Linked DNA regions of Drosophila melanogaster. The protein of the gene in region 1 interacts with the protein of each later gene in a pairwise test. Each region holds a gene or a part of one and is shown on either strand. Other genes may lie near its edges. The genes, in order: RNaseZ and Cpr12A.

The links.
Region 2: the proteins of RNaseZ (region 1) and Cpr12A interact in a two-hybrid assay, tested with the Drosophila melanogaster proteins (one large-scale study listed by BioGRID).

The regions. Positions count from the first base shown.
Region 1 is NT_033778.4:10,306,504-10,312,022, forward strand, and holds RNaseZ (ribonuclease Z), read right to left. Parts: upstream 3,292-5,519; 5' UTR 3,161-3,291; coding exon 1,936-3,160; intron 1,878-1,935; coding exon 802-1,877; 3' UTR 527-801; downstream 1-526. Other genes in the region: CG12909 (uncharacterized protein), read left to right, coding at 3,732-4,577; Obp46a (Odorant-binding protein 46a), read right to left, coding at 4,669-4,880, 4,939-5,095, 5,147-5,260, 5,407-5,519. UniProt on the Drosophila melanogaster protein: Zinc phosphodiesterase, which displays some tRNA 3'-processing endonuclease activity of nuclear and mitochondrial pre-tRNA. Probably involved in tRNA maturation, by removing a 3'-trailer from precursor tRNA.
Region 2 is NC_004354.4:13,541,699-13,545,506, reverse strand, and holds Cpr12A (cuticular protein 12A), read right to left. Parts: upstream 1,865-3,808; 5' UTR 1,734-1,864; coding exon 1,421-1,733; intron 1,014-1,420; coding exon 805-1,013; 3' UTR 600-804; downstream 1-599.

The DNA.
Region 1 (5,519 bases):
CGTTTTGCCGTATTTTAAAGCTATTTATTTATTTTTAAACAGAGCATTAATTTTATCAATGTTGGAATTACGTTTATTTATGACATCCAAATATTAACCAAAAGTTGTCCCCTCCACCTCCCCCACTCCAACACACACACACACCAAATATCGAAGGACCTTAATTAAGATCATACATACATACATATGTACTTTGTCGTTTACCTACTAATTTTAACTAGTCACAGCTAATTTCCAAAAAGAATATCAATTGCGAAAAAAAGAAGAGACCGTTGAACTAAAGTGCCTTAAAGTTGAAATTTAAATGACTAAAACGATATAAAATGTTTCAAAGTGCTAAGATTCAAGTGCCCTTGTTGAGTCGGCAGAGTGGATAATTACTATTGATAATTATGAATATTATTTATGATATTGTCGTGTCCGAACCAACAGAAACCATTTTAAAAAATCTATACAAAAATCGTTTATTACACAGACACTGTTGCAAGCGTAATTAGTAAATAAAGAAGAAACTAAAAAACAAAATGGATTATTTTATATTTTTATTGGGTTTTTGGGTTGGATCATACAAATAACTTGTAAATGATGCAAATGCAAATATCACAAGCATATACAGATACAAGCAAAGGTGCCCTATTAATTTCATATATAAAATCTATATATCTCCAATTAGTATTTGGGCAAATTTTATGGTTTCAAGAAATAACATTAAACTTAACAAATACCACTCAACTCTGACATAAGATTAACAGTAGCTCCTTGAGTAACTTATACTGACTATCCGGATTAACTTGCCGGCAATCACGTTTCTGCCAGTTTTCGCTTTCGCTCCTGTTTCAGCTCCCGCTTGACAGCCCGCTGCTCCAGTTCTTCCGTGTACTCGGCGTACATCGCGAAAAGGGCGGGGTAGAGCTTGTGGTAGTGCTGCAGATCCTCAACGGTCACTTCCATATTATCAAAGGCTATTGCAACTCGTTGCATATCCTCATCACTCGGTAATCGCGGGCACTTAGCGTAACGCTGCGAAAAGTGGGAGAGAATCGTATGGCGGGCGTTCATATTCCGCCCCTGCTGAATAGCCTGCGACACGGTGCTGTGCGTCTTTAACCGCGCCTCCTCCTCCAAGTCATCCTCCATTGTCGCCTCGTGAATAAGAACGGTGGAGTCGCGGCCCAGATCGATCAGATCCTGACATGGCATAGTGTCGCCGCTGTAAGTGATCTTGACGGGTTCGCTATTGTGCTTTGCCGCCAGAGTTAGGCTTATTCCGAAAGAGTTGGGGCAGTGCCTAACTAGGCAGGTGGATATGGACGTAATTCCTAGACGTTCAACTTGTTCACCGCTCAGGGGACTAGCTAGGAGTTCACCGTTGCCCACTAGAGTATACGCATCTTCTACGGTTTCTATTTGTCGATTGTAGAACTCCAACCAAGGTTCAATTTGGCGAGGAGCCAGCAGAATAAGTGGGTCTGCCCTAGGTTTTAATTGCCTCCTTTCCCGGAGCAGACCAATCAATCCAATGTGGTGGTCGGCATGCAAATGGGATACATAAATCGCCTGTAGCTGGCGAAGAATCAACTGCCCTTTCTCGTGTCCATATAGTCGTACAATTTGACCATAAGTTCCTTCTCCACAATCCAACAACACGTAGGCATCAATTGCAGTCCTGATCAGAATGGAGCTCACGTTTCGCGTCTTATTGGGAATGCAGGAGCCTGTGCCCAAGAAAATTATCTTCGGGTAGCTATCGGCAGAATTGTCAGGGAAACTATACTCTTCTTTGAATTTGGCCAATAGTTCCAGAAATCCTGGTACGGCATGGGTCTCCTTAACATACTCCTCTGGTGTGAGTTTGGACTCAAGAGTGCGATCCAGACCTTCAGGTAATAAAAATATACTTATAGCATTGAATGGTAAGTAAAAAATAGTACCAACCTTTCCTTGGTCTCAGGTGATAGTTTGTCATGGCGACCACACCCTGTTCTTCTGTCTCGTTAGCCTTTGCATTTGCTTTGTCCTCCGAATCGGCCTCGTCCAACTTCGTTTTTTTAAGGTTTAGACTGAGAGTCTGACTCTGGCAGGACAATTGTTCGCCCAGGAGTGGAAATACTTGCGGTGCCAGTTGGTGGAGTTGGTGTTGAATGCGATGGGCGGCTGCATAGCCTGAGAATTGGTTGAGGGGAGAACTTAAGTATATGTGCTGTGCCTCAGATGAAAAACTCTCCACCACAAAATCCTTGTACACCTGACGAGAAGATATATGATAAGGCGTGAAGTGCACCACAAGCGCCACTTCAGTTAACTTCTCTTCGCCTAACTTTTTAAGCCTTTTGCCGTGTGTAAGCAGTGCTGGTAGATAGTTCTCACTGGGCACATCAAGGAAAACAAAGGACAGTGCAGTTTCACTGGCTTCGGTGACGTCGACTGAACGCACCACCTTTCCATCAGGCAGTGTGATATCGTTGCCATTCTTTAGCTGTCCCAGAAGTGGTCCTGGCGGCACACCTTGCTCCACGCACTTCACCAAGTTTAGGGCGCCAGCTCGCGGTTTCAGCTGACAAATGTAGTTAATTACACTTTTCGTCGGATCTTCCGAATTGATCAGGGGCAGAGAGTCCACCTTCAAGATGGAATCCTCAAAACAGGCGCCCTCAGAACAATCGTTTGGCCGCACCTGGAGATTCTTTAGCACCACGAAACGTCGCATTGACTGCAGCATAGAGCCGAGATGAGGCGGTCCATGGAGTCCAATGTCGCGCACTCCGGCATCTTGGATGGTGAGCGTCAAACCTGGTAACCCTCCGCAGGAAGCCCACGTATTTTGTGTAAGGAAAATTTGTTCCAGGCGTGATAGGCGGGTTTTGTGCTCGTGAGCTAGTCTCTGGGTTCCCTCGCCGCAGTTGAAGAGATAGCGTGCCTGGTCCGTAAACAAATAAACAGCGGCAGGCGCTCCATTGGCGCCAGAGCCCAGAACCTGAAGATTTACTGTTCCCGGCACCACGGAGGCCAGCTTTTTTCTAAGCACATTGGGTTCCCGCTCATAGCGAGGTCCTGTTAAAGGATCCTTGGCCGAGGCAATTGTGGCCGCCATCAAATTACTGGTTGTGAGCGTTCGCAAGGTTCTGTAGATCGGCGACCTGGCTGATTTTACTAAATACATTCGTATTTCGTCAGAGTCTGTAGTCGCGGGCTTCTAATAAACTGAAAAAGCGGGGAATTCGCTGAAATCATTCGCACAAATTTCGTCAGCACCGGCAACGTGTGTCTGCGAACAGCTGTTGCTATTAGTGATGGCACGCTGATGGTTGCGATACATCGAAATGGGACGATAGTAAAAAATAGAAGAAAAGTGCTAAAAGGAATTAAATTTAAGTTAAAATGATTCTTGTCTAGAAAATTGATTATATTTTTCTGTTGTATTTTACAGTTTTGGAATTTCTAGATATGTTTTAATAAATAAGGGCAGTAAATTATTCCAACTTTATATTATTATTAACCATATCAATGAATGTTGAATTAAAAATTAATATGTTAGATTAAGTAAATTCCTATTTGCGTACTTGAAATCGGTCTTAGGCAACACTGAATTTCAGGTATTTAAGCCTCGAACGTGATTGGTCACTCTAATGCCCACGTGCGTTTTGTTTGGCCTCCGCCGGCGGTAAATTCAACCAAATTACCTGAAATTCCAAGGATTCCCCGGTAAACAAGAGATCAGCGACTGCTACACCATGGTCTTCTTCACGTGCAACATCTGCGGCGAGTCGGTAAAGAAACCGGCGGTGGAAAAGCACTACCAGACGCGCTGTCGCGGCAAAGACAAGAACGTGTCCTGCATGGACTGCCTAAAGGACTTCTATGGCGAGGAGTATGTGGCACACATTAAGTGCATCTCAGAGGCCCAGAAGTACGCCAGCCAAAGCCAAGGCTTTGCCGCCAAGGAGCCCCGCAACAAGAACGCTCAAAAGCAAGAGAGTTGGATGGACATCATTCGGTCGATCCTCGACAGCAGCGAGTACAATTTAACTCCAGCCGTTCGATCCGCCTTCCAAAAGCTCCAGAGCGTCGACAACGTGCCCCGCAAGAAGGCTAAGTTCGAAAACTTCGTGGGAAACTGCATGCGCATGCCCCGCAACCAGGCCACCCAGGTGTGGGATATTCTCGAGAAGGAGCTGAACAAGATGAAGGAGGCAAAGCAAGCGGAGCTGGCCAGAGCCAAGGCGGAAAAGATTGCTGAAATACAGCAGAAGCAGAAGGCAGAGGTCGAGGAAGAGGCGCCACCCAAGAAGAAGGCCAAAGTGGAGACCACAGAAGATGCTGCTGCCGAGGAGACCTCCAACGGCGTGACCAGCGACTTTGATTGGGCCGCCCAGCTAACTAAGATCGTTACCAAGCAAGCAGATGGCATTTTCCTGGAAAAACTTCGTAAGAAGCTGCTCAAGAAGTATGCCAAGCATCTGTCCGTCGAGGATTTGAACGAAAAACAGGCGAAGAAGTTTCAGAAACGCTTTGATAAGCAACTTAAGCTCGCCGATTCCTTGGAAGTCGAGGGTGAAATAGTTAAGATCGCTAGCTAGCCGAATATCCCACCTTTAGTCATAGTTTAATTATAACAAAAGGACAATAAACGTGTAAGCTGGAAGTGGTGCCCATGTATTAATCCCACATCTAGGACTTGTACTTTAGATACTGCATACATTGCTTCAAATGATTGCGTGTCTCTTCGCACTGGGCTGTTTGACGGAAGCGCTTGGTGGGACAGTGCAGGATCATCTCGTTGGCCACGCACTCGAGGACCAGTCCGGGATACGGATGACAGCCAAGACGCGAAAGACGTTTGGATAGCTGCTTCACACCTTTGTGCGGCATCAGTGAGAGCGCTGCAAAGGGTAGTTCATTTAGAGATGATTTAATAAACAACTCGCGCAGCTTGCACACCATGCTTGTCGCACTTGACATAGGTGTCATAGAGAAGCTTAATGTCCGCATCGTTGACCAGGTCGCTTTCCAAGTGCTCCTTTACCTCATTGAGATTCAGTGAACGGCGGTCCCTGCCCAAGAAGTTCGTACTGTTGAAACTGCACTCTGCGGTGCACTGATTAAGCAATTAGTTTGGTACTTGTTTACGCTCCTCAACCGAACTCACAAACATGTACGTCTGCTCCTCTTCATCCGTCTCGTATGGAATCTTTTCGTGCCACTCCATCTGGCAGTCGCTAAACTGGGGACTCTCGTCGTGCAGGTCGCAGCAGAAATCATGCTGCAATAAAAAGTTGTACCCGATCATCATTTTATATGACGATTTCATTGTCTGGCTCTCGAGTTCTATTTGTTTGCTATAATTATTCTGATTTTCGCATCTTTCGTTTCTATACTGCTCTAAATCCATCCATGTCTACAACTCACCATTGTATCTACAGAATTCAGTTCACAGTCTTCATCCAACGCCGGTGGAGTACTTCTACCCGTCACAAAAGCGGTCAAAAGGAGGAGCAGAAATGCGAACAGTTGGGAGCACA
Region 2 (3,808 bases), on another chromosome or scaffold:
TTTCGTTTCAAATCGCTGCTGTCTTACACTCCAAATGAAATGTATTTTGTAATTTCATAAATACATAGATATATACATATACATATAAAGTCAGATACTTAGATTTATACATTAATTCTACTGCACAGAATAAAATTGATCAATGAAATTATTATGTAGGCAATAAGTGCGGTAATTATTTATTAAGTCAACTTGTTTTTTTTTTTGCTGAAAATACCTTATAGTTTTTCTCTGTGCACTGGACATTTTCTTGTTTGGTTTCGTTTTCGTTTCTTAATTGCCCTCGGCTCGAGAACCTCGCCAAAAATGTGTTAAAAATGCAAAAATATGTCCAGATCCAATATGTATATATATTTATATATATATAACCCCAGGGTGGCGAGGGGCCGCCCTGCACTTGTATGTTTTATTGCCCGAAACGCTTTGTGGTAAATTTATTGCCAAATTGTCGGCGACTTTCGAAAAATCGCGAAATCTTCGCAACGAACTCTGGTAAGGGGGGCTGGAGGCGCGAAGGGGCGTGGACAGCAATAAAAAACAGATCCACAAAACAGCTACAAACAACTGGAAACATCTTCAATAATAAATTCATAATTTTTCGCTGCTTTGCCTTAATAAATTTTTATTATTTTTTAATCCCATTTCATTGAACACAACAAAAATGTGGACAGAAATTAAATTCATAATAATATAATACGAGTAGTCGGGGGCACAAAATTAAAAAAAAAAAATAATAAAATAAGGTATAAAAAACGATGTAGGGAGCCAATAATAATAATGGGCATGGTGTGCAATTACGAACTCTCAGTAGCGGCCCCTACGATTTGTCCCCGCCCCCCTGGGCGTGGTCGTCGTGATGGAGGGGTTACCATGGGCATCCAGACGGGATTGAAACTGAGATTGGAACTGGGAACTGGAGACGCCATCAGATGCCGCGGATGCCGCAGATGCCTCGCTGACCATGGGCACCTCGATGGAACGCGGCAGATTGGGATATTCCTGCGGCGTGATCGCTGTGGGCGTAGCAAAATAATATAATTTAATATAAACCAGATTCGAGTGGAGGGCTATCTGTGCTCTTGGGCTGAAAATAATCGACGGGTGTTTGCGTGTCTTATTAATTTTCGCTGAAAGAGTTGCGATAATGGTTGGCTCGTTTACATTAATCATTTCACTCGTGTTCAAAAAGAGCCGTCATTCGTGTGCTCTCACTCGAAATAATCGATCTAGTGTATCAAATTATATAAAAAAAAGGGTAACAAAGTACACAAATCATATCCTTCCTATGAAAATAATTTGCTTATTTATGAATATTTTAGTGTTTAATACATAAAATATTTCTAAGAATGAAAGCCCCTTGTCATCACTTTGAAATTCTTTGTGATCACTTCACACCGAAAACCGCAATTCCGATACTTACACTGATTCTGTCGATAGCCAAACTGATCGGCATTGTAGAAGACGGTGATGTAACGCCCGTCGGTCATCCGATAGGCATAGTAGCCCACAACCATCAGGGTCTTTACATCGTTGATCTTAACGAAATATCCACGTTCATAGCGAGCGGTTCCATCGTCCAACTCGAATCGATACTCGTAGCTGCCGTCGGGATATCGGTTATCGAATCGATCTAGTAATCGCGCACTGGGCGCCGACTCTTTGATCTGCTGGGCGGAAATGAGGGTGGCGCTCAGCAGGAAGATGGCGAACAGGATCGAACCGGAAGTGGCCATTTTAACTCGGATCGGTGTGAATGTGTGTGTGGATATGTGGATGTAATGTGATTTATGGGTGGTGGTGGGATGGATGTGTGGGATGTTTGGGCTACGCAGGTGGATGGTGTGTGTGCTGTCGCGCGATGTTTTCTTAGCGGTTTAATTCGGAAACAGTGTAACATTGGCTTTTTATAGTCGACATCGAGAAGGCAGCGAGGCGAGCAGCGCAGTCGGCGGCGACCGAGGCAGCGAAGATCTTTAGCCTGAGCTGAAGCGGGATATCCGAAAGGGTGACTGAGAGCCGAGTACACGGCTAGAAAAGGAGTTGCGCCATTTAACCATTAAAAATCCTAGCAATAAGCCAGCTAACTGCATTACAAAATAATTAGAAGCTTAAGACTTATGAGGCTCGTTTATATTTTATTTGTATCTATCAGAAGTCATGAAATATTTTGATAAAATCTATATATATATATTTGTAGAATATAATGCAGAAATCGTACCTTTTTCGCTCAGTGCACGCACATCTCTCTGAGCCATTGCCGTCAAAAATTCTCGACGCTTAATCATATAAAAAAAATCTTAATTTCATCTACTTACACACATGCTTATCGGTGTGCCCAGCTCAATGGGTTAAAGGGGGCGGTTGGGGCGGGGCAGGGGCTGGACAGGTTGCTAACTGGGCAATTTGGTTGCGCCTCTTTTGTGTGTTTGCTTTTGGCGCTGTTCGCACGGCCGCCAAATTGCTCACAATGGGTTAACCAGTGGGTTTCGATAATGTTGGCATTCCGGGGGTTAAGGTGGAAAGGGGGCGGATGTGGCGGAAAGGGCGTGGGGCTAAGCAATCACAGTTCGAAACTGATACGGCAGACATAATCGATTTGCAGCCAATTGATGGATGGCCAGGGAATCGCTATAAAGTGCCTTTTGTGCTAACCGTTGAGAATGGCTGTTCAACAACTAATAGGCAATTAAATTCATGTCTTTATTAGGCTGTAGAAAATATGGTTGTTTTAATTTGTGAAAACACTTTAGATATATGTATATAAAGACTGAAGTGAGTAGTAGGTATCTTTATCCGTCGAATCTATATTGCTGGTTTCTATGCTAAATATACTATTATATTAAAGCTAATAAGCTGGTGTAATGATTTATAAAAATTGTATAACATTAAGCTAAATATATTTATGGTTTAAGACATAAAGATATAAGGGAAGCGGATCCTTAGATTGCAGCCCACGGTGCTGGGCAGCAGCTAAAAATACTACAATTCTTGCACCCTACAATTTGGCCAGCCAGTACGTGCCGCCTGTCATCGTTAAGCTGAAAGGCAGCGTATTCCGAGCGGTGGAGATGCAACACCAGGGGCGGCACATGATCGGTGGGGGGGGGGGGGGGTGCGTAGGGGAAGGAAGATATGGAGCAGCAGGAGCATCAGGAGGAGCGAACGAGGCGAGCGTCCTGTGGCCAATTAGGGCTAATTTATGATTTCAATCATTTCTTAATTGCATTTAATGTGCAGCGATTTAGCGAACACAGGCCTGGAATCTGGCCAGCTGAATGCCAGGGGCGCACAGGGGGTTGGGGAAATGGACCCACTTGGTCAGTCGGCCAAAGTTAATGATGTGCAATTGAGCCGGGGGGTTCGGGCAGCCGAGAAAGCCCATGAAGCCCAGGAAACGCAGGAGCTCAGGGACAGCGAAACTTATTGGTTAGTGTTGCTCGGGGGCAGCTGTCAATATGTCGACACGGACTTATCGCCGTTTAATTAATTTGCGCACACCTCAAAGGTCACGCCGGTGCATTAAGGCCCAGTCACCTCTTAAGCAGATAGCATTTATGAAATAATTTAATATTTTTTGCTTCTTATTTTTAGCCACATTGTTTTGCATTTTTCGCGGCATCCGGCGCAGATTTATGGCCAAGTCGCAGTGACAAGCGCAGTCACAGTCGCTCAGTCAGTCGGGCAGTCAAGCTGGCAGTCAGTTTGTCACTGTGGCAGTTTGCCACTCTGTCAGTTAGTCACTCTGTCAGCTTGTCACTTTGTCAGTGCGTCAGTTGGGCGGGCAGAAGAGGCGCGCTAAACTTGCCAA